4 linked regions of the Notamacropus eugenii genome follow. The protein of the gene in region 3 interacts with the protein of the main gene of each other region in a pairwise test. Links are inferred from orthologs where the notes say so. Each region holds a gene or a part of one and is shown on either strand. Other genes may lie near its edges.

The links.
Region 1: the proteins of TXLNA (region 3) and DTNB interact in binary tests that used the Homo sapiens proteins (3 or more experiments, as listed by UniProt). The two-hybrid records come from large-scale screens. The link is inferred for Notamacropus eugenii from reciprocal best matches to the Homo sapiens genes TXLNA and DTNB.
Region 2: the proteins of TXLNA (region 3) and PPFIA1 interact in binary tests that used the Homo sapiens proteins (3 or more experiments, as listed by UniProt). The link is inferred for Notamacropus eugenii from reciprocal best matches to the Homo sapiens genes TXLNA and PPFIA1.
Region 4: the proteins of TXLNA (region 3) and DEUP1 interact in binary tests that used the Homo sapiens proteins (3 or more experiments, as listed by UniProt). The two-hybrid records come from large-scale screens. The link is inferred for Notamacropus eugenii from reciprocal best matches to the Homo sapiens genes TXLNA and DEUP1.

What each region holds. Positions count from the first base shown.
Region 1 is NC_092872.1:526,514,830-526,521,892, reverse strand, and holds the start of DTNB (dystrobrevin beta), read left to right. Parts: upstream 1-4,053; 5' UTR 4,054-4,184; intron 4,185-7,063.
Region 2 is NC_092873.1:22,487,612-22,495,401, reverse strand, and holds the start of PPFIA1 (liprin-alpha-1), read right to left. Parts: upstream 3,004-7,790; 5' UTR 2,870-3,003; intron 1,254-2,869; coding exon 990-1,253; intron 1-989. UniProt on the Homo sapiens protein: May regulate the disassembly of focal adhesions. May localize receptor-like tyrosine phosphatases type 2A at specific sites on the plasma membrane, possibly regulating their interaction with the extracellular environment and their association with substrates.
Region 3 is NC_092876.1:77,660,292-77,668,076, forward strand, and holds the start of TXLNA (alpha-taxilin), read right to left. Parts: upstream 3,018-7,785; 5' UTR 2,838-3,017; intron 2,391-2,837; 5' UTR 2,361-2,390; coding exon 2,183-2,360; intron 1,700-2,182; coding exon 1,361-1,699; intron 710-1,360; coding exon 618-709; intron 1-617. UniProt on the Homo sapiens protein: May be involved in intracellular vesicle traffic and potentially in calcium-dependent exocytosis in neuroendocrine cells.
Region 4 is NC_092876.1:165,501,998-165,509,546, reverse strand, and holds the start of DEUP1 (deuterosome assembly protein 1), read left to right. Parts: upstream 1-4,547; 5' UTR 4,548-4,903; coding exon of another isoform or gene 4,904-4,909; 5' UTR 4,910-5,084; coding exon 5,085-5,102; intron 5,103-5,340; coding exon 5,341-5,414; intron 5,415-7,549. UniProt on the Homo sapiens protein: Key structural component of the deuterosome, a structure that promotes de novo centriole amplification in multiciliated cells.

The sequences.
Region 1 (7,063 bases), on a different chromosome or scaffold from region 3:
CTCAAAAGGCAACTCAGCACAAGAACATCACTCGATAGTCAATCTTGAAATCAGTTTGATTATATACTTTGCATGTAAAGGAGGAGAAACTTTATATAGTCAGCAAAAAAAAAAAAGATCTGGAGCTGATGGTAGCTCAGATCATGAGCTTTTTACTGCAAAATTCGGACTTAAATTGAAAGAAGTAGGGAAAATCTTCAGACCACATATGTGTGACCTAAATAACATCACTTATGACTAAGAAGTGAAGGTGATGAATAGATTTAAAGGATCTGGTAGAGTGCCTGAAGAACTACAGACAGAGGTTTGCAATATTATATAGGAAGCAGCAACAAAAGATATTCCAAAGAAAAAGAAGACCAACAAAGGAAAACGACTGATTGAGACTTTACAAATAGCTTGGGAAAGAAGGAAAGTGAAAGGGAAAGGAGAAAGGCAAAGATATACTCAACTTAATGAAAGTAGAATTGCAGAGAATAACAAAAAGAAATAAAGCTTTTCTTAAATGAGCAATGCAAAGAAACAGAAGAAGACAATAGAATGGGAAAGATGAGATTTTTTCAAGAAAATTAGAAGTATCAAGGAAAGGTTTCATGCAAAAACAGGCAGTATAAAACACAAAAATGGTAGGGACTTAACAGAAGCAGAAGAGTTTAAAAAGAGGTGGCAAGAATATACAGAACTATACAAGAAAGATTTTAACATCATTAATAACCACAATAGTGTGGTTACTGATCTAGAGCCATACATACTACAGAAGTAAGTCAAAGTAGGCCTTAAGGAAGCACTGAAAACAATAAGGCTCTAGTGGAGATGACTGAATTCCAGCTGGGCTATTTAAAATCCTAAAAGATGTGCTCCATTCAATATGCCAGCAAAATGGAAAACTCAACAGTGGCCACTGGATTGAAAAAAAAAATCAGTTTATATCCCAATCATAAAGAAGGGCAATGCCATGGAATGTTCAAATTACGAAACAATTACATTCATTTCACATATCAGCAAGGTTATACTTAAGATTCTTCAGGCTAGGCTTCAGCAATATGTGAACTGAGAATTATGAGAAAAACAGGTTCGTTTTCAAAGAGGCAGGGGATCTAGAAACCAAATTGACAACATTCACTGTATTATGGAGAAAACAAGGGAATTCCAGAAAAAAACATCTTTTCCTCCTTTACTGACTATACTAAAGCCTTTAAGAATGTGGCTCACCACAAAATGTGTCAGGTCCTCAAAGAGATGGGAATACCACATCATCTTACTTGTCTCCTGAGGAACCTGCATGCAGGGCAAGAAGCAACAGTTTGACCAAAACACGGAACAACCTATTGTTTTAAGATTGGGAAAGGGTACAAAAATGCTGTACATTGTCACCTTATTTATTTAACTTATAAGCAAAGTACATATCATGTGAAATGCCAGGCTAGATGAATCAAAAGCCAGAATTAAGGTTACCAAGAGAAAGAGCAACAATCTCAGATATGTATTTAATTCTACTCTTAAGGCAGAAAGTGAAGAATGAAGAAGCCTATTGATGAGGGAGTGAAAGAGGAGAGTGTAAAAGCTGGCTTGAAATTTAACATAAAAAAACCTGTTAAGATCTTGGCAACTATTCCTATCATTCGACAAACCAGGGGAGAAGAAACAAAAGCAGTGTCAGATTTTATGCTCTTGGGCTCAAAGATCACAGCAGACAGCAACTGAAGTCATGAAATTGAAAGATGCCTGCTCATTGAAAGGAAAGCCATGGCAAATCTGGACAGCTTACTAAGAAGTGGAGATGTCACCTTGCCAACAAACGTCCATTAATCAAAGCTATGGTTTTTCCAGTAGCAGTATATGACTATAAGGAGGGCTAAGCACCATACAATCGGCAAGATTTTGAGAATTCTCTGGACAGCAAGTAGATCACTTGAAGTATCCACAAAGTTCTGACTTGGGGGAACCTGGACTCTGAAGAGAGGGATCTGAAGACTACTAAAAAGTAGTCTTTTGCTTGTTATGTCCCTATGTTGAAAACCTCAGAAAAATCAATTAAAGCTTTAGCTTGGCTCATGTGTACAATCTCCCCAAAGGGGATCAGACAGTTACTAAATGTACAATATAGCTTAGTTAGAGGACAGCCATTTATTTCCTCTCCACAAAAGAAATCCTCAAAAAACAACTCATAAATGTACACTGTAAAGACTTAAAATGTTACAGTAACTCATTAAAATATGATACAATAAGTCATAACTCCTATTCTACTCTCTCAGGAGGTTGGAACTTAAAAAAATTAAAACATGAAACATTTTGTGGAGCTGCTAAACAATCATTTAATCTTCACCTTGTCTCTGCCCTCTTTGAACAATTTCTTAAAGGTACAGTTCTCTAGCAAAACAAGTCAGGGCTTGAGTTTTTCCTCCTGTTTGTTGGCGGTCACCTTCTCTGAGAAAGGAATAGTTACAGAAAACTCCACTTCTCATCAGCTTCAACTATGAGATGCAAGATCTCCTGACCTGTCAGACTCATCAGGATGCCTCCAAACCTGGAAATGTCCATTTCAGGATTACTGTTTGGTCACTTGTGTTAAGAGAATGAATAAAAAGCAAAAAAGGCAGCCAAGGCCTTGAGATTCCTACCCAGGCTCACTTAGACAAACACATGCTCAGACTTCAATGAAACAAGAGACTGATAAGTTGGGGAGAGGAATGTACCCCTTTCTCTTATGAGAAGAGAAATCCTCACAGAACATGCCATTCTTGTCAAACTGAAAAAAGCAGTCCTCCAGAGGGCAGTCACTCCTTTCAAGGTTTACGGAGGGAGTGGCTCTTTCTGGCTCAGTGGTCAAGTCTCTTTCGAAGCATCTGTCTCCCCTTGCTGCCACCATTGGGACCAAGGCATTTTTACATGATCCCTGAACCCAGATTTTCCCCATGCTAAACCCGAGCATAAGCAGTCCACTGAAAGTGGTCAGGGGAGCTCAGATCAGTTTTATGCATGGTCTAAAGGGGGAATGCTCTAGCTGGAGCACAAAGGTGAGGGAAATTTCACGAATATACAAGTATGTATGGATGCGGATTAGACCTGTATAAGGGAACTCCCCAGGTGAGAAAACTCCCTCTATCAATTCAGTTCAGTATTTTCTCTGTAATTTATAACCTCTTTTAAGAGAGTTGCCTAGTACACTGAGAGATTAAGTTACTTGCCCTGGGTCATATATAGCCACTTGAATGCAGGTCTTCTGTGGCTTGAAGGCTGGGCCAGGTTGTCTCATATTTATATGATTATAATATAAAATGAATAATAAGTATATTTTAAAACCACCACTTAGATACGTTTCAATTATATGGAAAAGTCACATCTAGTTCACGTGAAGGGCACAGGGGTGCATCACCCTTTCAACAGTAATGACATTTATATAATAGCACGTTGGCTTCACAAAATACATTATCTGATTAGCTCCTCACAGTCAACTAGGGAGGTGGGTAATTAGTCCTACTTCACAGACAAGGAAACTGAAGGTCAGGGTGGTTGAGTGACTGGTCCGGGCCACAGTGAACGCAAATCTTCGGCTCCATCCACAAGACCTCCCCGCCCCCCGCTCGACAGGTACAGGTAGCAAGAAGCCTCCTCTCGGGCTGAGGTTCTGCTTCCCACCTTGGCGCAGGCACTGGAGCTCCCACTAGCAGGGATGCCCCGCTTCCAGGTGGCACTTTTTGTCCTAAGGGCCCGGAGAATCTCCTGAGGGGAAACTTCTCTGGGGCCCCCGGCTCCCGGACCCCCGGGACGCCCCACAGCCGGCCGAGCTCCGCAGGGACTGAGGGGGAAGGGCTCGAGAGAACCGGAGTGGAGCTCCGCGCGCGAGGCCCCGCCCCCGCCCCGTGCCTGTTCTCGCGCGGGCGAGGCGCTGAGCCGCGCGCGCCGTCGTCACCCCCTCCCTGCTGCGCGCCTCCAGCCCCCCAGCTCCCTTTCCCCCTCCCCCCTCCCCTCCGGCTCGGGTGCGCGCTCGGGGCTGGGGAAAGCGGCGCGAGCCGGGCGGCTGCTCACGTTCAGGCGCGGGGGCGGCTCCGGGGCCTGGGCGGGCGCTGCTGCCGCCGCCGCCGCGGGCAGCGGACCGAAGAGAAGGAAGAGAAGGAGGAGGAGGCTCCGGTTGCCGCCGCCGCCGCCGCCGCCGCCGGAGATCCTCCCCCCACCCCCGGGAAGTGAGTACTGCTGGGGGGCGGCGGCGGCGGAGGGCAGCCTGCTGCGCCCCCGAAGGAAGGCAGCTGGGTAGCCTGGCAGCCTGCTGGGGTCCTTGCGGGCGCGAGCTCCTGTCCGGGAGCTAGCGGACCCCGGAGCCCGGCTGGAGCGGCCCCCGGCGGGCGGGCTCAGCGCCGCGCGGGAGAGGGGCTGCTGTTAGTGCCGGGGATCCCGGGTCCGCACCGGGGCTCGAGGGGGAGGGGTGCCCGGCGGTGCCCCGGGAGAGCGTGCGGGCCGGGACCGGGCCGGTGCCAAGTGCGGCGTGCCGTGCCAGCGAGGCAGGACCTCGGGTGCCCGGTGCAGCTGCCGAGGCGCTGACCCGAGCTGGCGACTATGGGGCTGGAGGGAGAGCGATCCGAAGGCACACTGCAGTATATGCTTAGCCTCGGGAAAGGGGAGGGTCCCCTCCTGTCCCACCCTCTCCATCTCCCCTGCCCACCCCGTGCCAGGTTTGCAGCTGCTCTTTGCCACTCGAGAACGCGGCGGCGCCGGGGACTCCATGGCGCATTCGGTCCGGGAGCGGGGATGAGCCCTTGCTGATGTTGCCTGGAGGAAGCAGCTTCGAAAGAAGACGATCTGCAGCGAGTGCTGAAGGGGAGAATGGGGCAGGTCCTGGCAGAGGGCAGGTGAAGGAGGCAGGCCCTGGCAGAGAAAGTGGTTATCGGTCATCGAGTCTTGAGAGAAAACAAGAGACTTGCAATTAGAGTGACCTAGAGTTCTGAGCCCCTAAAGGGAAAATAGCTGTGGGATTTGAGGTCAGGTGTATGCCTGATTGTTAGGTTCCTTACTCTGGCCTGGGAATCCGGCCCTCTGGTATGATCATTAACAAATAGTTATTGAATGCCTACTTTAGGTATAGGGCACACAGTGCTAGGTAGGCATTGTAAAGGCCTCTTGAAGGGCCAGTAGTCCATTTGGGGAGACAAGAAACATATGAATACAGTGGCAGTGAGTTTTATAATTCATTACTTAGTTTTAACTTGCTGAACTCCTTTGCTCCTTTATCTGGACATTTGGAGCTTAAATGGCCGGTTTGTGGGAGAAAAGCACAAGGGTCAGATGAATAGCTGAGTGCAGTTTTGGGCTATTTTGGAAGCCCTCAAATTCAATACTTAGAAGGTGGGTGAGAAACCAGAGCCAGGATTTCATTAGCTGCTCAATTGGCCAACCTTTATTTAAGGTGAGCAGTACAGAATCACCGCTTCAGATTAAGGTGGACGTATGGACTTTTCACATGGAAGGTCGTTCCAACCATGTCAACATAGGTCTAACTCCTCAGTGTGAACAGTAACAGTGGCTACTGCTTATGGGATACACTGTTTTCTTGTCTGCATCATGTAAGCTGTATCAAAGGAGTTTCTTTAGGGTCTTAGAATGATGTGGTCTTTCCTTTTAGCTTGTAATGTGCTAGTTTCATGTAGATACTTTTACTTAAAAACCTGTACCCTTTCAGTTTTATCATGACGTCTTTGAGAAGAAAGTTATATGTTTTTAGTGTTGGTGAACTGTGAAGATTAGGATTCTTCTATTTATTCTGTTTCTTAGTTGAGTTTAGGGGTCTCAAGTTCCAGGCTGTTGTTTGACTTGCTTGGGTTGCACTGCCTGTTGGGTTACTTTGTCTGCCAAATTAAAACTTGACCTTTTATGAGTTCTGAGAGAATTCTTAGTACCCATAGGTGAAACTGGCCTTTAGAGTATAGTATGTTCTAGATAATACTGATAGATTTCAAAAGATCGAAGTAGTTCTTTAGTTGTGAACATATATTTAAGTAAAGCACACATATGCCAAGCACTGCGCTAAGCACTGGGTATACAAAGAAAGGCAAAAACCACTAGATCTTGGGATACAAAGAAAGGCGTCAACAGTGATAGTAGTAAACACTACTGTTTGTGCTTTGGTGCTATTAAATGACATATTTTAAATAGTTTTCATGAAATTTACTTGGGGAAGAGATGCTGGCAGCATATTCTTGTTAACTGTTCTAAACATGTTTTATAAATTCTAGACATTTAAAATAAACTTCCTACACAGGGAGTGAAAATTTTCTATTATGTGTATGCTGCTATTCCTTAGAAACAAAGTTCCTACTGGTAAAGGAGATTTAGATGTCAACTTAGCCAGCTTTTAATATATGCCTACTATGGCTAGGTGTGTATGTGTGTGTGTGTGTGTGTGTGTGTGTGTGTGTGTGTGTGAATATAACTACAAAAATGAATTACTTCAAGGAATTACATTTACTAGGTGTGAGGTTATACCATACTTATAGATAAGCAAATATAATACAGATGTAAAATGTTGGGGTTGGGGGAAGTTAAACTAACCACTAGGGGAATTAGGAGGGATTACTTGAAGGAGGGAGCAGTTGAATTGAGTCTTGAAAGGAAGTGGGCAAATTTCAAGAGTGAAAGCTAAAGAGGGAGAACGAGACCTGATAATTGATTGAGGGTGGGGTGGGTGGGAAGGGATGAGAGTGAAGAGTTGAGGGTGACTTCTAGGTTAGGAACCTGGGTGAATGGAAGAATGGTGGTGCCCTTGACAGAATTAGGGAAGTCAGGAGGAAAGATAATCAGCTCTGTTTTGGATATGTTGAGATTGAGATGCCTGTGAGACATTCAGATAAAAATCTCCAGTAGGTAGATGGAGATGTAGGACTGTAACTTACGGGAGAGATGAGGGCTCTGCACATAGAATTGGGAATCATCTGCATAGAGATGACTACTAAATCAATGGGAGTTGATAAGATCATTGAAAATAATTTTTCTTAGGCGCTGTACCTTGTTAGTAGTTGCACCAGGTCACAGTCATAAAATGTGAAAGGACTTTAGAAATCATCTAGCTGAG
Region 2 (7,790 bases), on a different chromosome or scaffold from region 3:
CAAGAATCCAGGCAATGAGGGCCTGGAGGGGAAGATTGTCAGGAGAGAAGGGGGCATATTCCAGAGATGTAAAGGTGAAATGGACAGGCTTTGACAACTGGCCAGGGTCACAGAGTTAATGAATATCTGAGGCTGGATTTGAACTCAGGTCTTCCTGACTCTATCCACTGAACTATTTATTCTCCCCCCCTTCTTAGTTTACATAAATTAGGTATTTTTTAAACCATTCTATAATTACCATTATCACAGGAACAACACTTCTGAAAACAGCCATAAAGTTTTTGGTTCTTCCTATTCTAAGCTTACGCTCGTGATCACAGTCTACCATCTGAACTACTCTAATAACCGAACTGCCTTAAGCCACAGATCCCTCTGTCCACATGCAGTTATAGGAAAATATTTACCAACGGTGCAAACTCGTAAGTGCCTTTATCTTCATTAGTCATTCTGGAAAGGTTCCCCATTAAGTCAAGAAGCAGAGATGTAAAGGGGCTGACTAGAACATTTCCCAGTCACTTTCCGAGTATTTTTCTTCAGGTCATCATGTTTCCAAAGTCAAACAATGAAGGATGGACTTTGGTGCACTGGTGACTGAATAACAACTCAAAACACAAAAACCAAGTCTGACCCCCATGCAGCTACTCCCCAAATTCACATGTGCAGAGGGTGCTGGTGGGAGGGAAGTTCAGGCAGAGCCTGAGGCAGGCAGGCACTGCAGTAACCTCACCCCAACAGGACAGATGAATAGTCACAAATTAGGAAGGAAAAAGTCAGGGACGGGGCATATCTGAGAACCGTCAGATGTACATTTAGAGTCTTGTTTGGTTTTACTTCCAGTGAAGGGCAGAGAACAGCCTCAAGAAATTACCACCACACGTGGTCCCTGATGGACCATTTCATAGATAGTACTGCAGATTTTATTTGAAATTTTCTGACTAAGTCACACCATGCAAAACATTTAGCAAGATCAAGGTTAAAAACATTCATACCTGTGGGAGTGCAGTATTGAGCTGTCTCTGCAAGGAATCTCTTTCATGGCCAACCTCATGCAACTTCCCCTGAGTCAAGGCAAGCGTTTCTTGAGTCTCTCGAAGAGTGTCCAGAAGACGATCTCTTTCTTCCAACATGGACACCATTAATTGTTCAAAATGTGAATCAGCATCTGGCTGTAAAGGGGAACCAGAACCATGGCTTCCACCTCCTCCTGGGGGAATTTCTGCCTCACTGATGGTTGGCATCACCTCGCACATCATCTTGAAATAAAAATTCAGACCATAGTCATTAAATGCAACTCTAGAGTCCAGAAGCAATTTAGAACAATGTGCAAACTCAATACATCATCACAAGTTAAAATGGAAAAGCATATTTTCTTTCTGGCCTTCTTAAGAGTAATGCTGTCTCTAAGTGCTACACAAACATGATGTGAACTGGAAAAATCAGAACATCCACCAGACATCTAAAAGCCAAGAACTCTAACTGAATGAACGTAGAAAAGATTGGTATGTGCTAAAACTTGATCATCACCTTTCATTAAAAATATATAAAAAAATTTTTAAAAAGGAAACTTGGTGACCTCTTAAAAAGCAGCATTTTTTCTTAGTTGCTACTTTCTTAAAAAATGCTCTTTCATAGTTTCTAGTTCCTGGTCAAAGAAAGCAACAACCCACAAAATATACCTGGTACCCCATCATCTTTCAAGATGCCAAAAGAATAATTAATCGATAGAATGGACAAGTGCTAAACCCATCAAGGTCAATCCAGGAATACGTATGGGCTACTACTGGAGAGGACAGGTAGAGGTCCAAGTTCTTGCACTGGACTTGGTGACTAGAACAAAAAGAAGCTAAATTATTCAACAGCTGGGAGAGCTTTGGACCGCAGTAACCACTCAGCCTTATGGGGATGGGCTACAACAAACACTTAGTGTGTAGAAACAGTGGATCAACATGGTCACAGAGAAAAGGGGACAGAATAAAGACGAATGGCAAAATTTGAGAATACCTCTCAAATATTAAGGGATGAGAAAAAACGACTTTTAAACAGGATTTGAGGAAAGCAGGGAAATCACGGCTCCTCTAGCCCAGGGCTTCTTGGTCGTGCCCAAGACCCCATGAACACCGTGCAGCCCTTCTTGGACGGTTTTGAAATGCATTAAAGAAGATAATGCAGAGAAAAGCAAAGAAAACATACATTTTGCAAGTTCCCTGCCTCCGGCCCCTGAAGACAGCTTTGGTCCAGGAGTTCACAGGAATAAGTCCCCCTCTCCGTCTCACACATGCTACAGTATCACCGCCTGATACAGTATCGCACCAACAGACAGGACCAGCCGCCTTTCTGCCCGGGGAGAGCTTTCGGGGTACACGCAGGATTTGTATCAATACTCAATACACAGTTACGAAGCGCCTCCTCCGCTCCAGGCCCCGGACAGAGAAGTGAACTTGCGGCTGCCCCGGCGGGACCAGGAAACAGCAGGAAAGTCAAAGACAAAACACCCCCTCCCAGCTCGGTGGTGCCAAGTCCTTCCTTCGGGGGCGGCGGAGGAGGAACCTCCCGGGGACCCCCCAACCCCCGTCAAGCCCCGGCCGGGGGTCAGAGGTAAAATCAGAGCCTTCGGCGAGGTCTCCAGGAACACAGCAGGCACTTAATAAGTGCTGACTGTACAAGGTCTCCGGCCCGGCAGCGACGCCCCGAGGAGAAGGGATCGCTGGACCCGATCCACCCCGGCTCGGCGCCCTAAGGTGAACCGTCCGACCCCTCGGTGCCTCAGTTTCCCCACCTCCGCGGGGGACGCCCGGCCCCCACTCCCCGGTCCGAGCTTGCATCCCGGCCACGACGGGGAGCTCCCTCCCCGCCGCCGCCCGGCACTCACCTTGGCTCAGGGCCCGAGCCGGCGCCGGCGCCCAGACGGAGCCCCCGAGAGGAGCCGAGGCCGCGCGGGGAGGAGGAGGGAGGCTCGCGGCCGGGGCGGAGGAGGAGGCTCGCGGCCAGGCCGGAGCCCGGGCCCGCTGCCCCGACCCCCGACCACCGACCCCCGAGGCAGGCCGGCCCGCCCGCCCGCCTGTCCCCCTGCCCGCCTGCCCGCCGCGGCCGGACCCAGGAGCGGCGACGAGTAGGAGGCAGCGGCGGCGGCGGCTGTGGAGGAGGAGCGGCGGGAGCGGGCCGGGCCGGGCCGGGACGCGCGTCATCCGCGTCATCCGCGCGTCATCCGCCGCGGCGGCGGCGACGTCCTGGCGTCACGACGTCCTGGCGTCAGCGCCTCTGCGTCGGCCCGCGGCCGTCTGCGGCTGCGTGCGTGCGTACGTGAGCTTGCGTGCGCGCGCCTACGGGCCCTTCCCCTGAGCTCCCGGGGAGAGCCGAAGGAGGAGCCCGAGCTCCCGGAGGCGTACGCGTGCGCGGAACTACCCAGGTGTAGTTCTTGGAGTGGAAAGGCAATTCACGCCCATCGTCCTCTACCCCGCCGCCCCACCGGGATGCTAGGGGGACGTGCGCGTGCGCGAAACGACTCACGCTTACTTTGGGAAAGGAGAGGGAAAGGTAGAGGGAGACTCTGGGACGCCCGAAGTATGCGCCTGCGCGGAACGACCGCGGCGTGGTCCGGCGGAGAAGAGTGTGGGGCGACGTCTGCCGATGTGCGCGTGCGCCAACAAGCCGGCGGAGCGAGGAGCCCCGCGGAGACCGGGAGAGGAAGAGATGCGCGAAAGAACCTGAGGGAATAAGGAAAAGAAAGATGGAGGAAAGAGATAGAAAAAGAGGAGGCGGAAAGGAGGACAAATAGCGAAGGAGAAAATGGAAGGAAAAGAGGCAAAGATGGAGACGGGGGGACAGGACCGGGCCCAGGGAGCCCAGGAGGACCAGAGGAAAGAGAAGGGCGCCATGGGCCTGCAGAGCCTCCGGGAGCGCCCCCCACCTCTGCCTTCGTCCTCCGGCGCCCGGGGCCGCTTCCGGTCCCCGAGAGATCGTGGGGGGGGCGATGCCCACTCGGCATCCGGACCCCCGGGGACTGGAGGGCCCGAGACGCCCCGGCCCGGTTCTGCCGCTCCCCCAGGGGATGAAGGATGAAACACCTACAAATCCTAGAATTGGGAGGGTTCCTACTGCGGACCCCCGGGAGTAGGTCACGTGCTTAACTACCTGCACTAAATGGGATCATTATGCAAATTAGGGTAGATGTTTCCCCAGGAGACGCGCGGTCAGATTTGCATGATACATTAGCCCGCGGGACTTGGGGCAAACCCTGGGCTCCCCACTAAGGAGAAGTAAGGAGTAGGGTGAGCGCTCTGTCCTGTCTTCATTCCTTTACGGTGGGACTCAGCTGAGAAAACAAAGCAAAGCTGAGCCAATTCCACCCGGAGAGGAACCCTAGAAAGCACCTAGCCCGAGCCCGTCATTTTAGAGACAGGAAAACTGAGGCCCAGAAAGGAGGAGGGATCTACAGTGTCCGTCCCACGGCTGGATATTCCCTGGTACTCGTCTCACCCTTCCTTCTGAGACGGGAGAGACAGTGGAAAGAGCCCTGATTGCAGTCCTGTCTCATGCTGAGCACTCCTGTGACCTGCAACAAGTCACCACCCCCTGGGCTTCACTGTCTTCCTCTTTAAAACGAAAAACTTGGAGTAGGTGGCTTCTGGGTCTGCTACTCCACGATACTGTGATCCCAAGCTCCACCTCCGTCGTTCCCCATTAGGTGCAGGATCCTGGAGGGCAGAGCGCTGCATCCTACTTGTCTTTGCAGCGGAAAGGTCTCGCACCCTTGGTGCCTGCATACAGCAGGCGCTTCATGAATGTCTGTTAATGAATGAGTTTAGTGAGTAGCAAAGCCGGGTCTCTGAATTTCCAAACTGGTTCTCTCCCCACTACAGAGCTCTCTAGGTATTGCTTGGGGGCAGACTAATACAATTCAATCAATCGTTCTTTAAGCACCTCCGAGGTGCCTGGCATCCTAAACTGGATGGGGATACAAAAGGAGGAAAATGGAAGCTCCCTGCCCTCAGGAAGTGCACAATCTAAGAAGATATACAACTACAAAATGCTTCCTAAGTAGCCAAGTTCAAGGCACTTGAGAATATAAATACAAAAAAAAAAATCCTCCTTAAGGAGTTTGCATTTTACTTGGGGTTAGGAGGACAACTTGTAGCAAATAATTAAAAACTAAAAACCACTTGGTTTTCTGGACAGCCTGAAGGGGAGGGGAGGGGGATCAGCAAAGGTCTCCTGTAACCTCAGGCACCAGAGTTGACCCTACAAAGAGGTCAAGGTGAGGACGGAGGGGGAGCACACAGCCTCCCGGGCGTGCACAGGCATGAACACTGGAGAGCAAATGTTGAGTTCAGTCAACAGCGCTAGGCTCAGTTTGACCTGCCCATCAGCGTGTGAACAAGAGTAAGATGATGTCCGAAAAGCATCAGGGCCACGTTGGTGAATGCCAGGGTGAAGAGTTTAGATTTGATCTTAGAGACGATGGGAAGCCACTGATGATTTTGGATGGGGGGGGGAGGGGCGGTGTTGGTGGTATGATCAAATACGTGACAGAGAATATTAACTTAGCCACCTTTTGGAGAATGGAGAGGGCGGAGTTTGGAAGAGAGGTGACCCATGAGGTGGTTGTAATCTCAATGAGGGATGGTGGGAATGATAGGGTGAGATGTCGGGGAAAGAGAACTGACCAGACTTTACAACTGATTGGATAAAGAAGTGGAATGAGTCAAGGAGGACTCCAAGGTGGCATCCCTGGGTGATTGGGAGGATGGAGAGTGGAGGAGGGATGACTTTCTAGGAAATAGTTCTATTTTGGGCATATTACGAATGAGATGCTGATAGGACATCAGGTGTAAATGTCTATTAGGCAGACTGGAGTTAAGATGACAGGTAAGGGCTGTGTATATAATTTTGGGATTCTTCTGAATAGAGATTTCAATAGAACTCACAGAAGCAGTGAAGAGGCTGATTGCTATAAGTGACTAGAGAGCCAGTCTTCAAGTCAGGAAGACAACTCCAAATTATACCTCAGATAGATATCGACTGTGGGACTCTAGGCTAGTCACAACTTCTGAGTGCCTCTTGGCAACTCTATTAGTTGTGGAGAAGGTACTACCCTAAATGGGTGGGCTAAGTTTCTTCACCTGGAAGTTCCCTTCCTGCAGAGATGAAACCATAGGTCCTTTTGCTTTGGGAGCTGGTGGGCTTTTAAGGACAATGTCCAGCAAATAGGAATCCCAGGACAGAGCCTTATAGGATACCCAGGGTTAAGGGGATAGAGCCAGATGATGGCTTTTCAAAGGAGAAGGAAGAGCATATTGTTGAGTTGTCTCAGGTTAGATGGTGAGTTCCTTGAGGGCAGGGATTGTCTTTTACCTTTTTTTTTTTTTTTTTTGTATCTCCAGGGCTTAGCTTAGTGCCTGGCCCATAGCAGGCACTTGATAAATGTTTATCAATTGATAATTTTGTAGTCTGACAGATAGGAAAGGCAAGGAAGAACAGGACTCAGGTAGGGGTGAATGACTGAAAAAGGATGAAGGGAGCGGATGGGGGTGGGAGGGGAGCATCGAATTTAGCAGTTGAGATGCTTGAGAGAGATAAGGAAAAGGAGAGAGAAGAGAGGAAAAGATGAAAGGAGGAAGGAGAGAGAGAAGGGAAGGGAAGGGAGGGGAGAAGAGAAAGAAGAGGGAGAGAGCAGTTTTAGTCAGGTGATGTGGTCAGAAACTAGACTACAAATGGCCAAAGAGTGCATTTTAGGGTTAGGGTTAGGGTTAGAATCCAGGACAAATACTTATTCTATTAGAAGTGTGAACAAAATTTAAGGAAAGATTTAGGCTAATAGCTGGGAGATCTGGAAGGTTCAATGAGCATTAATCCTGGTGGGAGGGCTTTAGCTGGGCCCTGGGGTACCCAAGGGTGACAGACAATTTAGTGCCTGCCCTTAAGGAACTTACACTTTTGAAAGGAAATAAGATGAGGCATCTCCCCCTCCTAACTCTTTCCAGCATCTGAGGTACAGGAGAACTTTCGAGCCCCCTGGGGGGAGAAGCTACTTAAAACCATCAAGCCTTATCAACAAATCACTTTTACTAAGCACTTGCCTCCCTTTGGGAAAGGGATAAGAATACGAGTGGTGTATCCAAAACCGAAATGGTTCTCTTACTGATGAGATCACCAAGTGAAAGGGTAGAGAGAGAGAGAAGGCCCAGAACCGAAGCCTGAGGAACACCCCTGGTTGGAGGGCATGATCTGGAGGAGGATCCAGCGAATTATCATCTCTAAACTGATGATTCTCAAATCCACCTTTCCTGCCCCAACCTTTCTAGTGAGCTCCAAATTTACATCTCCAGATGTCTTTCAGACATCCCGTTCTGGATGTCCAGTAGACAGCTTAATGTCCAAAATGAAATTCCTTGTCTTTTCCCCCTCCTTCCTTCCCATCCTCCCAGTCCCCCAGGTTCTGAACCTGGGAGTCATTCTGGACCCCTTACTCTCACCTACCATATCCAATGTGGTGCCAAGGCCTGTGAATTTCACCTTTGCAACAGATCTCAAATGCATTCCTTTCTCTCCTCTGACATTGCCACCACCTGGCAATTGGACTGAGGCAACAGCTGCTGGTGATCCTGCTGCCTCGTGTCTCTCCCCACTGTAGCCCATTCCCCATTAGGCCACCAAAGGCAATTTCCTAAAATGCAAGTCTAACCATGTCCCCCTCTCCCACTCATTAGACTTGGACATCCCTTTCACCTCCAGGATCAAATACAAAATATTCTGCTTGGCATTCTAAGCCCTTCCCGATCTGTTCCCCTCCT
Region 3 (7,785 bases):
AGCCCTCACTTCCCCCATAACAAAGTAGCTAGAGAGGCTGAGGATGGACACTTCACATGTTCAAAGTACCAGGTTATATTTGGAGAAGGAACAGTGTCATGGCTCTGGTAGCCAGGCCCTTCTTGGCTGTGTGACCTTGACAGTGTTAATGAACCACCTTTGAGCCTGCCTCCCCAGCTCCTGAGGAGCACCACTGCTCCCCACCCGCCATCTCTGAGGGCAGCTGCCAAACAGGGGATGGCCCTGGTAAAGTATCTAAAGCAAAGTGCCCCTCTAGCCAGCCCCTAGTCATTTCTCATGTGACCCCATCCACACTGGAGATTCATCACAGGCCCCAAAGTGGGGGAACAACTCCTGAAAGGAGACTCAATCCAATATTTCTGGGAATATTGCAAATACCCTCTCCCTTCTCTCAGAGACCCCGGGGAACACAGCTAGGGAGGCTCTCCTCATCTCTGCCTCCACAGTCTTCGTCAAGGAACCAAATCTGACCCGTCACCTGGTGTAGTGTCCAGGCTGGGATGTGCTGTCACCCACATTTCCTCCTCAGGGTCAGGCCCATGCCAACCTTGGAGTCCCCTAGACTCCACAACCCTGCAGAAGGGCCCAAAACTGACCAACTCAGCATATTTCTTGCATAGCGCAGCCAATTTCTCCTCTGGGGTGCTAAGGGTGTTCAGTGTCTGCATCAGCAAAGTGATCTCCTTCCCTGGAAGACACAGGGGCACAGAGTGACTCTTCCTCACATACGCCTCCACGCAACAGGGTTAGCTCTCAGCCCCAGATCCCCACTCCTCTGTCCGCACAACCCTCAGTTCACTCCCAAGATTTGCCACGTAGATAAAGGGGCAGGCTGAGGAATCTTCCCTGGCACATTCAGTGGGTTGCTTTCCTAGGATCTGTACATTTTTCCTCTTAAAGAGAAAATAAGTGGCAGGAAAGGAAGAGATGGACAAAGAAAAATCCCCAACAGTTGAAGCCTGAGACATCTGGAGCCTGAGCCCTAGGATCCGCATACATGAAACAATTGCCACTTAGAGCCTCTAGAGCAGGCAGGCCACAAATGACATTTACTCCAATTTCTCTCCCTCTTTTTGGCAGCAACTAGGGATAAGTGACTTGCCCAGGGTCTCCAAATTCTCTCTCACCTCTTGAAACCAAATTCTATCAAAGAGGTATTTGTTGTTATGTTCAGTGTCTGCCATACAAAGGTGGGAAAGGACAAAATCTTTGCCCTCAAGGATTATACACCACTAAGGTGGAGTGGAGGAGATCTAACAGTCTCACAGACAAGGGAAATAGCAGGGATAATGTGATAAAACCTTGAAACTCGATGTACCAAGGTTTCCACCTTTCTTACCCAGGCCTTTGGCCTTCTTCTTTTCCTGGACCCGCTTCTGGTCTCGGTCCCCACTCTCATCATTTGCCCGGATCTCTTCAACACCTGGCTCTCCCTTGGTGATTTCCTTCACTCCATTGACTTCAGGGGTCCCCGGCTCTGGTTCTCCATTCCGGGCAGAGTAATTCCTGCTCTTCTCTACCTCATCTGGCTCTGTGTGCTCATTCTGGCCCCCCTCATCCCCTGGTCCCTCCTGACTGCTATCCACACAGTAGGTATTCAATATATCTTCCAGCTGCCGACTCAGCTCCTCGGAGACATCACAAACAGGCCCTGACGGAGAATTCTTGGTCTGCCCCGCTGCAACAAAAAACAGAGCACAAAGTAAAACAAATGGCTCCACGCCATAAAACAAGTTCCTTATAACCGGGCTGTGACGTGTGTGTCATGACGATTATTTTCCTGTCTTGAGAGAGGAACCAGTGAAGCTGAGGGCAGTTTCTTCTTAGCCACCATTACGTACCTAGGACCTGCCAGCCCCCGGAGGCTCCTGAGGGCCCTGATGCCCACAGCCTTCTCCCTCTCCCCCACACTGTCCTGCTTCACGAGTGCGTGCCCAAGGATTCCTGAAAATCTGCCCTTGTGCTCCCAAACAAAGCAACAGGTACACTTCCCGAAGAAGGTCCTCGGGCTGGTGGGAGCCTCCCGCTCCCAAAGGAGGAAGACTCATTTCCAGGCTCCCTCGCCAGCAGAGCTCCAAGCTCCACACACCTCGGGGCGCTCTGCCGGCTGCGGGCACACCCCCCTCCCCCCACGGCTTTGCGGGCCGGCCTGGCACCGTACCGTCATTCTTCTCCGCCGAGGCCTGGCTGGCCGGCCCTCCCGCATTTCCGTCTGCTTTGGGGGCGCAGTCCTGGGGGGCCGGCTGGCCCTCGGGCCTCGAGGTCGGGGCCGGGGCTTTTGCTTTGGAAGGGCTGGCCGGCAGCTTCGAGGCGCCCCCCTCCTTGTCCCGATTCTTCATGGTGCCGAAGGATGCCGGGGCTCAACCAACCTTTCAGAGACAAACCCCCCGCCCTTGAAGGTTCTCGGCCGGACTCCCTGGGGAGGGGGCTCCTCCACGACCCCAGTCAGGCTTGCCTCGGGGGCACCTGGGGGTGCGCAGACAAGCGTCCGCAGGGGCCGGACGGGGAGGTCTGCTCCCACCCCGCAGGCCGGGCCTAGCTCCCAAATCGGAGGCCCTCCCGTCTCAGGGCTTCCCCTCTCAGTAGCCCCGGCACGCTCAGTCCCCGCCTCCCAGGGCCGGGGGAGGGGCGCCACTCCGGGAGACCCCAGCCCCACATCCCACGTGGGCTCCGCCCCGCTCTGCCTCGCGCCCCCTCGGGATGTTCCCGCGCAAGCGCGCTAGCGCCCTCATTCATGGCTCTCCTTCTCCCCCCCCCACTCCCCCGCCAAGGCCCGACTTCTCCCTCTCCTCTCCCTGCGTCCGCGCGCTCCGTACCGCGCGCTCCTCCCGGGCCTGTGAGTCAGGCAGGATGCGATTCCGTCCGGTCCTCGCTCTCCTTTCCCACCCCCGCCTCAGCCGATGCCTCTTCTTCCCCTACGGCCGATTCCCTCCCCCAAACAAGGCTCACGGCGTAGGGTTACCGGCTCAGGCCTCACACCGGAAACGCCGGACAACGGCTGCCGGTGGAGACGCCCGCCCCCTCCCCCAGCCTTAGCCAATCAGAAGCCAGAGGCCTTGCAAGGCCTGTCGGGAAGGGTGAGGCTGCGACGGTCTCAGCCGAGGGGAAGCTGGGCACGAAGGAGGTGGAAGGGGGGAAGAGACGGACACTACAGATCCCGTCATGCTCCGCTGTGAGGATTGAGAACCAATCCCAGGGCGCAGCGGGGCTGAGCGATGTTCCCCTCCCAGTGGGAGGGGGACGGAGCGCGCCAACGCCGACGTGTGTCGTGGCCTGTGCGCCGGGGTGCAAGGCCACCACGAAAGCCTCCCTTGCCTCGAGGGCCTTGTGTTCCGACGCGAGAGAACGTGCCCTAAGGAGGGCTTAAGCCCTACCCGGCGGACTTCTCTCACTATCTATAGGCTGGAGATGATGCAAAAAAAAAAGACAAATTTTATTCCTTAAAAAAGAGAAAATTGAAGTCCGCAGACAGTCTTCCTCCATTCTTGGCCCCGTCCGTTTGTAAGGAGGTACAGCACTTAGGCGCCCACGGCGTGCCGGGCACTGGGCCGATACTTGGGTGGATCCCGCCCACGTGTCCCCAGCGTCGCCTGGGGCCGGATTCGAACTCACCTTCCGGACTGCCCCCTAGTGGGGAGATGGCGCACGCGCACACAGCCCCACAGGCTTCACACGGGCCCCAGGAAGACGAGGGGAGGCCAAGGGGAAACCGCAGAGGATCAGGAAAAGCCTCGGATTCTAAGGGAGAGGAAATCCTGGGCGTAGGGGACTGGAAGGGCAAAGGCTTGGCGGTGGGAAGTAGACCTCCAGAGGGGAGGGTAATAGGGCGGGGCAAGTGTAGGAAGAGCGTGGGGATGGGAATGGGCTGGTGGTCCACACCAAAAGGGGCTGTATTTAATCCTAGAGGCCGTAACTGGGAGCCCCTGGCGCGCCCTGAGCAGAGAGGGGTGCCCTGGGCAGACTGCCCTGTGGACAAGCCGTCTGGGCCGCGGTAAGAGGATGGAGAGGAAAGGAAGCAGGCTGGCGACGTGGTGAAGTGCGGGCCGCTGCGCGGTGATGGAGGTGCTAGGTGGGCAGAAAAGACAAGGTTGACAAGGGGCAGGAGAACTGGAGGGGACGCCATGAGATGGCAGAGGCTTTGTCCTTTGTTCTCAAGGGGACCCTGACATCAGGGAAACGAATGGCATGGCTGGCAGGGAGGGAGGACTGGGCAGGTCAGCAGCCTCACCTTCTCCTCCCCGGATCAGATATTCATCAGGATGACCAGAGATGACCCAGCATCAAGACTGGCAACTGAAAGCCTGGTGATGCTGAGAATCACAGAGGTCTGGAGGAGGGGAGGGATTAAGGGGCAAGCTCATGAATTCCATTTGGTACCTACTGAGTTTGGCTGGCCTTTGGGATATCTAGTTTGAAACGCCTAGTAGGAAATTCCTGATGTGAAACTGCTGTAGAAGAGAGATGTGAGTCTCAGAATTACCTGCACAGATATAATAACTGACTGAACAGGGCGGATGGGATAACTTAAAAAAGTATAGAGGGGAAGAGACAAGGACTCAGGACAGATTTTTAGTTCATGCCCGATGAGGACAAGACATTAGCAAAGGATATTTTAGGAGTGATTAGATCGGTTGGTAGGACAACTGGGAGAGAGCAAGACCATGAGAAGACAGAGAAAAGCCAGCGTCAAGGAGGATGACTTCCTGCCAGACTATCTGGTGCAGTTCTTTTGACAGAAGACAGAAAGACACCCAGTGGGGACAACTGAGTTACTGTCACGCAGTAAAAGATAAAACTAGTCAGAATTCTTAGCTGCAAGCCCAGGGCTCTTGCCAGACAGAGCACTGGAATCCCATCAGCTTCTAGAATGGGATAAGTTGAACCTATTTTCATTCCTTCCAGAGGTGAGATCAGAAATTAGAAGCCGTCAATCCTGGAGATAAAGAGTGGGGCAAACAGAGCTTTGCCACAGGGCACTAAGTTCAAGAGTGTAAAAAATGTTTTCCTCTAGCAGCATCAAAGTTGCAACAGTGACTGATTCCCTTTCCCACTCAACTGAATGCTTGAGGTAATCCTTGTACTATTTTCTTACCGTGAAGGGGGTTTGAGAGTAATTCTTAACAGACTGTCCCAAATGCCACAATTGCTAGTTATAACCCTGCACATAACCTCTCATCATAATCAACACAAAAGGCCAATACAATGTTATGAGCTTCGCTTCATTTATACCATGAAAAAAGCTAATTAAATATTGAATTGTGGCAACCCAGGCTGGAAGCAAGGAGACCTGGCTTCATATTGTTTCAGCTTTTTCACATATTCACTCACTGTTGTAGAATTAGGCCATGACTGATTTAGAGCCTCAGTTTCCTTCTCTATACAATGGAGTTGCATTAAAATCCCACAAGGCTCTGAGACTCTAATTAATGCAGGTCTCTTCCCCCATAGGATGGCTTTGTGCAGACCACAGCCCGTAGGCTACTGTCTTTTTTATCTTGCATGTCCCTCTTCCTATCAGATGTGACCCTTTGTACCAGGAGACCTGTGCTGGCTATCCTGGGCCATCTCCACCAAATGGGGAATTGTCACAGACTGATTATTCTGGTGCAAAGGCAGAGTGGCTACTTCATTGGGATTAGAAACATTGAGCCCAACCTCCATAGGCTAAATCCAGGTATGTAAGGGTATGGAAGCAGCTTCTTTCCTAAGAGGAATGGCCTAAGCTACAGCTGTTCCTGGTCTAGGGGTCCTCACTACTAAGAGCAGCTGTATCCTGTCTTAAGTCTTCCCTTCCTCTTGTCTATTGCCAGGGCCATGCTAGGAGCAGGGACCAAAAAATTTGAGTCTCCAGCTTTCTCAGTGACTGTGTGTACTCCATCCCATGCCTGTTCATTCACCTAACTTTCCCTCATGGTCAATTAGGGGCATCAGTATCAAATCCTCTCCATGCCAACCTCTTCACACCAGGGGAATGGGGCAACTAACGATCTTATAGTGCTTGACAATGAAGTACCTTATGTAATCTTCACAAATGTCTCTAGGAGGCAAGAAATAGGAATATTAAAAAATCAGAACTGAAAGAGAACTTAGTGGTCATTTAGTCCCAATGGGAAAACCTATTCAAATGTACCTGACAAGTGGTCATTCAGCCTCTGCCTGAATACCTTCAATGAGGAGGAACTCACTACTGTTTGAATACTAGTACCACCTTTTTAGATAGATAAAAATAGGTAAACAGAGTTCATGTTGGCATGGCATGTAATGAAGTGGATGCAGAGTAAGAAGATCTATGTTTGAGCTCAGATTTCGCTTCCTACTGATCTTGGGGAACCCTTGGAATCACTCCAAGATTTGGTTTCCTCATCTAGAAAATTATGAGGTTAGAGTAGATTATTTCTAAAGTCATATCTAGTTCAAAAATCTGATTTAAGTGACTTGCTTATCATCATATAAATCAAGGCCAGAGACAAGACAAATAGGTGTGACACTGAATTCAATGTTATTCCTTATTTATCAGAAGGTGCTTAATTAACTTGGAGTCCAAATGGATTTCAGGGGGGTCTAGGAATGTAAATGAAAAAAATTTACATCTCTGTTGTCAACTAGCTTCTAAATGAGAGCATGTTTAATGTTTTTAGAGAGACTATCCCAAAGCTGTTCCTTAGGTCTGAATCCAAGTGGGATCTGTGGTCTCCAAAGGTCTCCTGGTAATGTTCACAGAAGGGAGGCTAATTGTTCTGCTGAAGCCAGTGCATGGCACACCTCAAGCTTGGTATTGCCCTCTCCAGGCACACCAGCCACCTTACTCCCTGGGGTCAGTTTCTTCTAGCTACAAGATGTCAACCTCAATCCAAAGGCATTGCAAGGGCCTAAATGAAAGGAGACTACTAAGAACTTTTCAACAGGTCTTTATTTTTGCATTATATTTGTTACACAGTGTTTGAAACCTAAAGAAATACATTTTTCTCTTCAAATTGATGTGTATATAAATATCATTTGTTAAGTCTGTACTCATCGCGCTCAACTCCACAGTCTGTCTTTGCCCTGTGTCCAGTCTAGAATTTCCCAGCTGTGGCTAATGGATGCCAGAGGGCCTCTAAGCACATTTGGGGTTTGTGGGTGGAAGGTAAGATAGCCAGAACCACAGAGAAAAATAAACATTTTAGAATAAAGGGAAAACCAGCAAAGATTTCTGGGCTGGTTTCTGGAGGGAAGGGAAGGAACCTGCCTGAGGCACAAGCTTGTTTCACTCACTCTTCTCTCCCCTAGTGGTTTGTAGTAGGAAGATGCCATAGACTGGGGTAAATAAACATCCAGTAACAATGAACTCCAGCCCCATTCCTTGGCCAAAACTGGTCTCAGAGTCTGTGATTCTTCTCTTGATAGGGAATAAGTTTGTGAAAGCTAAGCTCTGACCTGGACAATTGTGAGGCAGAGGGTCCCAGATGTGTGTGTGTGTATTTCTCCCTATACAACTCTCTCTTGACCCTTGAAATAATGATCCCACCTCCACCCTGGGATCATTCAGAGATAGGTTTTGCAGACTCCGAGGGATAGTGTGGATTGCTTGCCCTGCACTGGCAGGAAGAAAGGTTTAGGGGTCCCCAGATGTCTATCATAAGCCACCTGAGGTGACCCCTGAGGTAGGGTGGGGAGCAAACTCTGTTGTTTAAAGCAGCCAATAATTCCTCTGCTGATCACCTTGGTGAAAGGCCTCTCTGTCTGCTGGTTCTTTACTTCTTGCCCTGGCTAGGGATTAGAACA
Region 4 (7,549 bases), about 88 Mb from region 3:
TCTTCACCCTCCTCTTTCTGCAACCATTATAATAATCTCAGAAGCCCTTTCCTTTCTCTGGAACTAACTCCCTTTTGCTCTCTGTTCCCTTACCTTTTCAAAAATTACTCTTAAGGAAGGTTCTGATATTAGTAATTGATACCTTACATTGGGGTATTCATGCTTAAATAGTTAACTCTAATTGTAGAAGACTTTATCCCTCTGGTGCAGGGGGCAACAGGCAAACCTCATGAGAAGATAGGGCAAATACTTATGGGGTTGAGGTATATCCCAGGCAACAGTGGAATCACGGTACCCAAACAGCTAGGTGGCATAGAGAATAAAGCCAGTTTGGAGTTAGGAAGACCTGAGTTCAAATCTTGCTTTAGATACTTTCCAGCTGTGTAATCCCAAGCATGTCTCAACCTCTCAATCTCAGTTTTCTCATCTGTAAATAAAACAAGGGCTGACGGGGTAGATTTGATGACTTCTAAGGCTTCTTCCAGCTCCAAATTTATGATCCTAAGCAGTCTTCTACTTTGCTGTTGACAGTCTTGCCCCTATACTTACCTTAATTTGTAAAAAATGTGGCTTAAATCACAGGTACGAGTTAGTCAAAAAGCATTTATTGAGTGTTTACTATAAGCCAGACGTGCTAAGGCCTGGAAAAACAAAGAAAGGCAAAAATAGTCTCTTCCCCAAAGGAGGTTACATTCTAATGGTAGAAACAACATACAACTATGTATACACAAGGTACACAGACAGACACACAGATAGATGGTAGATGGAAGGTAATCTCAGAGGAAAGGTATTAACATTAAGGGGGACAGGAAAAGAACTGGTAGGATCTTTGGGCATATTGGAACTAGCTAGTACCAGCTCACAAGAGTAGATTGTTAAATTTTCAGCCTGAGCATTTGCACCCCAGACATTGGCAAACTACAAATCAGGGCTTGATTTGTTATTATGCTGGTTGTCTAGAGTCAGATTTTAAAGTTTCTTGAGAAATCAAACTCTTCCTATTCAGCCATATATTTCTATAAGTTCTTCCCACAGATCTTAAGTCAGACTTCTGGATCTTCATGATAATGAATTTATGTAAGTTCCTAATGCTAAAAGGGACTTGCTCAATATTGCTAGCATATGGACTAGTGCGAATTCATATCGGGTGAATGAATATAAGTGACTTTGGGCTATCCTATGATAATAAGTTAAATTTCTTTTCAAGATCCATTTTCCCTTCTCCAAATCAAGGATGAAATTTAGAAATGATTCAAGAACATGACCAAGTCTTTCAACATCATAGAAGATTTTAAGTGAAGATGGAATGAAGACTCTTCTTTATTCAGTCACAGTGGGAAGAACAAAGGAACACTTACTAGAACTCATTACCTAAGCCACTTATAGAGTACATCTAAGAAATTCATGCTGATGAGAAATGATCAAATTTGTCTTTTATAATTTTAATGGAACTGGATGGATATACAAAAAAGTATTAAATGAACAGTTGTAATAAAATAGCAAATCAGTGTCCATGTTATGAAAGTGAAAAATAAACAAAAGAGCTCAAAATTTACTAGAGGGAAGCAATAAAACTAAGGTGAATTTTCATTTTTCAAAGATATTATATTCATACATATGAATATACATAGCCACACACCTTCACTACTATTTCTGAGTAGGGAATACTCATAAATTTTGTCATAGGTCGTTGGTTACATTTTTGCCTGGCACTTTCTGTTGTAAAACTCAAGGCACGTTGAAGATGAGCCAGTGTGGCTATCCATGTGGGCAGTTAGGGAGCACCTACTGTTTTCCACCGTCCTGTCCCTTCTTTTACACTTTAACTTAAGATCTGGAGCTGGCCAAGGGGATCCCAAAAAGCCCCCTGGTATACAGGACGAGCCCCGCTGGAACGCAGGCAGGGCAGCGGCACCCTCGGAGTGTCCCGGGGCTTCCAGGCGCGCTTGGCCTTGGCATTCCTCCGCGGGTGGGGTCGGGCACGCGTTGCCACAGCAACCTGGGGCGCCTTGGGAAGCCGCGGGAGCCGTGGCGGGCAGAGCCAGTCGGAGCCAGGCCCGTAACCGCCGCGGCAGCCACTGCTGCTATTGCTCCGGCCCGGCCGGAAGGAAAGCTGGGGAAGAGACGGGCCGAGCCTGGCCGAAGAAAGGACAGTCTGGGTCGGGGCCGGAGCCGGAGCCGGGGCTGGGGTCGAGGCCAGGGCCACGGCACGCTACTCAGCGGCTCGCCCGGAGAGGCCGGGATCGTGGCGGGCTACATCGACTTTACCCTACTCCTCCTCCCCTCTTTCGGACGGTCAAGAGCCGGGAGCAGGCAAGGTACTTAAAGGCGCTCCGAGGTCCAGGCCCGCTCCCGGTGATCCTCCCGAGTGTCCCCGCTTCTCCCAACACCCGGGAGCTGTCCCGGCCCGGACAGGGGGATAGGGAGGCTCCCCGGGCCGGACCCCGGGGAAGCGAGTGGCGAAGGATGAGCCAAGTTGGGAACTTTGTGCGGATTAGGGGTTTGAGAGGTGGTGGTAGTGGGGCTTTGGAAACGTTTGATTTGAGATTATCCCAGCCCAACTAACCCTCCTTCTCTCACCTCCTTAGTACTTCTCCATCTTCCTCCTCCTCCTCCTCCTCCTCCTCCTCCTCCTCCTCCTCCTCCTCCTCCTCCTCCTCCTCCTCCTCCTCCTCCTCCTCCTTCCACCTCCTTGAAGTCACCTCCAGTTATCCTGATCTGTATCTGGCCACTGGACCCAGTTGGCTCCGGAGGAGAAAGTGAGGCTGGTGACTTTAAACAACCCTGACTCACTAAAATCCAATTCACTTGCATGTCATGTCATCGCCATCCTGATGTCATGGTCATCCTTCTACCTCCTTAATACTTCTCCATCTTCCTCCTCCTTCCTTCTTTTCTCCCGTTTTCCTCTTCATCCTTCTCCTCCATCCTTTTCTCTGTCTTTCTCCTTCAAACCCCTCCTCCTCCAAACCCTTCCTCCTCCATCTTCTTCATCCCTTCTTTTCTATCCTCCTTGTCTTCTTCCTCACCTAATTTTTTCTCCCTCTCCTACTCCTCCTCCTCCTTTTCCTCCCCTCCCTCCTCCTCTTCTTTATAATACTCTAATTTATAGAATTAGAGTATTTTTGTATTTTTCTCTTTTCTCCATAAGTAGCCTTTAGTGGTATATTCCATTTTATTCTCACAGATTTAAATATACATATATGTCTATGTATATAGATATACATCTATACATAGACACACATATATTTGATGGTTGATGGAACAAACAACTCTGAAATAAATAGGCAGCAAGTATTTTTAAAGTCTGGGACTTACTCTTTGAAAGCTGACTTCTGGAATCAACTCTAGAATGGACTTCAAGAGCTGTAGTTTTCAGTGGCTAGAGTACTTGAATTTGTATCATATCCTTGAGCCCCCTACATATTGGTGTTCCAGAAAAGGAACAGAAAAAAAAGGCAAAGAAGTTTACATGAAGCTGAACATAATCAACCAACAAGTTTTTATTAACCATATAACAATAATAGCACTTATATAGCACTTTAAAGTTTGAAAAGTGCTATACATATGTTATCTTGTGTGGTCTAATATTTCAGGTACTGGGTATATACAAAATCAAGTACAACTTAGAACTTGCTCCCATGTGGCTTATATTTTATGGGGGGCAAGCAATATATTAAATACAAAATAGTTAAATACTTGATAGTTGGGGAGGGCCAGCACTAGCAGTTAGTTGAGGAGGGTAGGCATAGAAGGTGAGGAAATCAGGAAAGACATTTTAGAGAAGACGGTGCTTGATTCTGTGAGGTGTAGGGGTGTGATAGGAAAATGAGAGAGAGAGAGAGAGAGAGAGAGAGAGAGAGAGAGAGAGAGAGAGAGAGAGAGAGAGAGAGGGAGGGAGGGAGGGAGGGAGGGAGAGAGGGAGGGAGGGAGAGAGGGCAACAGAGTCCAGTTTGTATGGACCATAAAGTGTGGTAAAGGCAATACATGTATATCAAAACAGGTTGGAGGCAAGTTGTAGAGGACGTTAAAAGAGTTTGTATTTTAAGGCAATATAGAGCTGCTGCATTTTACTGAGAAGGGAATTGACTTGGTCAAATCTTCACTTAAAGAAAATAACTGTGACAATTCTGTAGAGAATAAATTAGAGGGGGAAAGACTTGAGGCAGAGACACCAATTACAGCAGTATTGCAATAGTGTAGGCAAGTGGTGATGAGGCCTGAACCGCTGAGGTTGTGGCTATGTGAATAGAGAGGGAGTCATGAAAAGATGTTGTAGAGTTAGAAATGACACATTTGGCCATCAGCATGACGGGGGGATGCAGGGAAGGGGTCAGGGAGAATGAGACGAGGATAAAAATGAAGTTACTAATCTGGAAGACTGGAAGTCTCAAAAAAATAGGGAAATTTGATAAAGAGTTTGGACAGAAAATTAATGATTTCTGTTTTATTCATATTGACTTTGAGATGTCTTTGTGACATCTAGCTTGAAATGTCCAATAGGCAGTTAGTGATGTAGGGTTAGATGTGGACTAGACAGGAGAGAGACTGTCAATGTATATATAGCTCTAGATGGATATATAGCTCTAGAAGTCATCAGCATAGAGTGATAATTAAACCCATGGGAACTTATGTGGACATTAAGACAATAAGGAAAATGAGGGGACTCAAGCCTTAGCTTTGGAGAACACTCACAGTTAGGGGTGTGTTTGAGATAATGAGCAAGCAATTAGAAAGGAAAGAGGAGAAAAAAGAAAACAATGTCATGAAAATAGAGTATCTAGGAAGAAAGGTGCAGCACAAAGGTCAAGAAGGACGAGGACTAAGAAAACAGAAAAATTGAAAGACTTGGTAACTTTGGAGCGAACAAATTCAGTTAACTTGATGAGACTGAAGTGAGGCAATGAAGGTAGACAGCTTTTTCTAGAAGTTTGACTGAAAAAGGGGGGATGATATAGAATGATAGCTTGAGGGGGCAGTAGAGTCTAGTGAGAATCTGAGGGAGACTTGGGCATGTTTGAAGGCAGGAAGCAATCAAGTAGCTCTAGGGAGAGATTAGAGACAGTGAGGGAAGGAAAGAGTGAATGAGAGAGAGCAAGAAGGTGAGTGTGATAGAGGTTACAGTCTGCTAGAGAAGATGGAAGGGGGGGATGAAGGTCACACATAGGTAAATCAAGTCACTTAGCAGTTCTGTTTATAGTACATTGAAGAGAAAGAGTGTCACATTTTCTAAGGAAAATTTAAAATGGACAATTTTGCCAAGAGCTAGCATTCCATAATTTTCTAGATTAATAAATACTTTAGATATTCTAGATTATTATTTTTTCCCTTTCTGAACAGGTTAAAAGATCAAGAAACCTAGGTAAAATGGAGTCGCGTCTTGAGATAGAGAACCCAGAGCAGAATCTGATGGGGTAAGTGCTGAGGTTTCCTTTCGTACTTGAGAAAATTCTGCTTAATAGTAATGATAAGAGCTTACATTTAGATAACATTTTAAAGTCTACAAAGCCTTTTCTTTACAATACCTCACTAAGAGAAGTAGTACAAGTTACCCCATTTTATGGATGAGGAAACTGAGGCCCAGAGAGATGAACTAGTTTGCTCATAGACAGTAAGTGGCAGAGCTGGGACTTAAACCAAGCTCTTCTGGCTTTAAGTCCAATGCTTACTTGTTTTGGACTTTATTAAAAGAGAAGCTTGATTGTAGTGTAAAAGAACAGTTGTGTTAAAGTAGGGAGACTTCACTATACTTTTAGCTCCTCCACTAACTAGCAGGATGACTTTGGGGAAGTTATTTGACTTTTTCTGAGCTTCAGTTTTCTCATCTGTAATACAGGGATAATACCAGCACTGCCTAGCTTACGAGGCTGAGATGAAAGTATTTACAAAACACAAAGTGTTATATAAACGGGAACTACTTTTAAAGTAAGGAGACTACAAGGCTTTTTGCTGGCCAAAATATAGCACTAAAACTTGATGTTGGTTTTGTGTATATGCATATGTAAATACATGCACATGTGCTGCTGACATATAATGAATATAATTCTAGAGAATACACATGTAATATTAACGATATATGTATATAAAATTAAGTGAAGAAAACAATATAATTATTCTTCCCTTTCTGATCTCAGTTCCTACATTTTTCTCTCTTTCTCTTTCTCCCTTCTCTCTCTATACACACATAAAAATATATACATATGTACATTATATACATACACACATATATAGTATGTGTGTATACACACATGCATAATGCATACACACATACATATACATGTGCACATATATGTATATATGTGTATATATACATATATAATATACATATGAAGAGAGAAAGAGAGATGGGGAGGGAAGGTAGAAAAATTAAAGCAAGAAGGGTGGAGAACAATTGTATTGCTTTCATCACTTTTTTTTTTTTTTTTTAGCTCAAATCAATTTGCAAAGCAAGCGTAAATAATTCTTCGGAATTTCTTTTTTTAAATTTATTTATTTGTTTTCAATTTTCAACGATCACTTCCATAAGTTTTAAATTTTCTTCCCCTCCCTCCATTCTCTCTCTCCAAGATGGCATACAATCTTATGCTCTACACATACATTCTTATTAAACACATTTTCACATTAGTCATGTTGCATAGAAGAATTAAAATGAATGGGAGAAAGCATGAGTAAAACTAAACAAAACCAAACATAGCAAAAGAGAAAATGGTCTGCTTTATTCTGTGTTCTGATGGATATGGATGGCATTTTGCATCATGAGTCTTTTGGAAATGTTTTAGGTCCTTGATTTTCTGTGGAGGACTAAGTCTATCAAAAACAGTCCTCGCACACTGTGACTGTTACTGTGTAAAATGTTCTCCTGGTTCTGCTCATTTCACTCAGCATCAGTTCATATAAGACTATCCAGGTATTTCTGAAGTCTGCCTGTCTATCATTTCTTATAGCACAATAGTGTTCCATTACATTCATATACCACAACTTGCTCAGACATTCCCCAATTGATGGGCATCCCCTCCATTTCCAGTTCTTGGCCACCACAAAAAGAGCTGCTATGAATATTTTTGTACATGTGGGTCCTTTTCCCATTTTTATGATCTCTTTGGGATACAACCCTAGAAGTCAGATTGCTGGGTCAAAGGGTTGGCACATTTTTGTAGCCTTATGGGCATAGTTCCAAATTGCTCCCCAGAGTGGTTGATTCAGCTCATAGTTCCATCAACAATGAATTAGTGTTCCAACTCTCCCACATCTTCTCCAACATTTATCATCTTCCTGTTTCGTCATGTCAGTCAATCTGACAGGTGTGATGTGGTAGCTCAGAGTTGTTTTGATTTGCATTTCTGTAATCAAGTGATTTAGAGCATTTTTTCATATGACTAGAGATAGCTTTAATTTCTTCCTCTGAAAAATGCCTGTTCATATCCATTGACCATTTGTCAGTTGGGAAATGACTTGTATTCTTGTAAATTTGACTCAGTTCTCCATGTATTTTAGAAATGAGGCCTTTATTACAGACACTAGCTGTAAAAATTCTTTCCCAGTTTTCTGC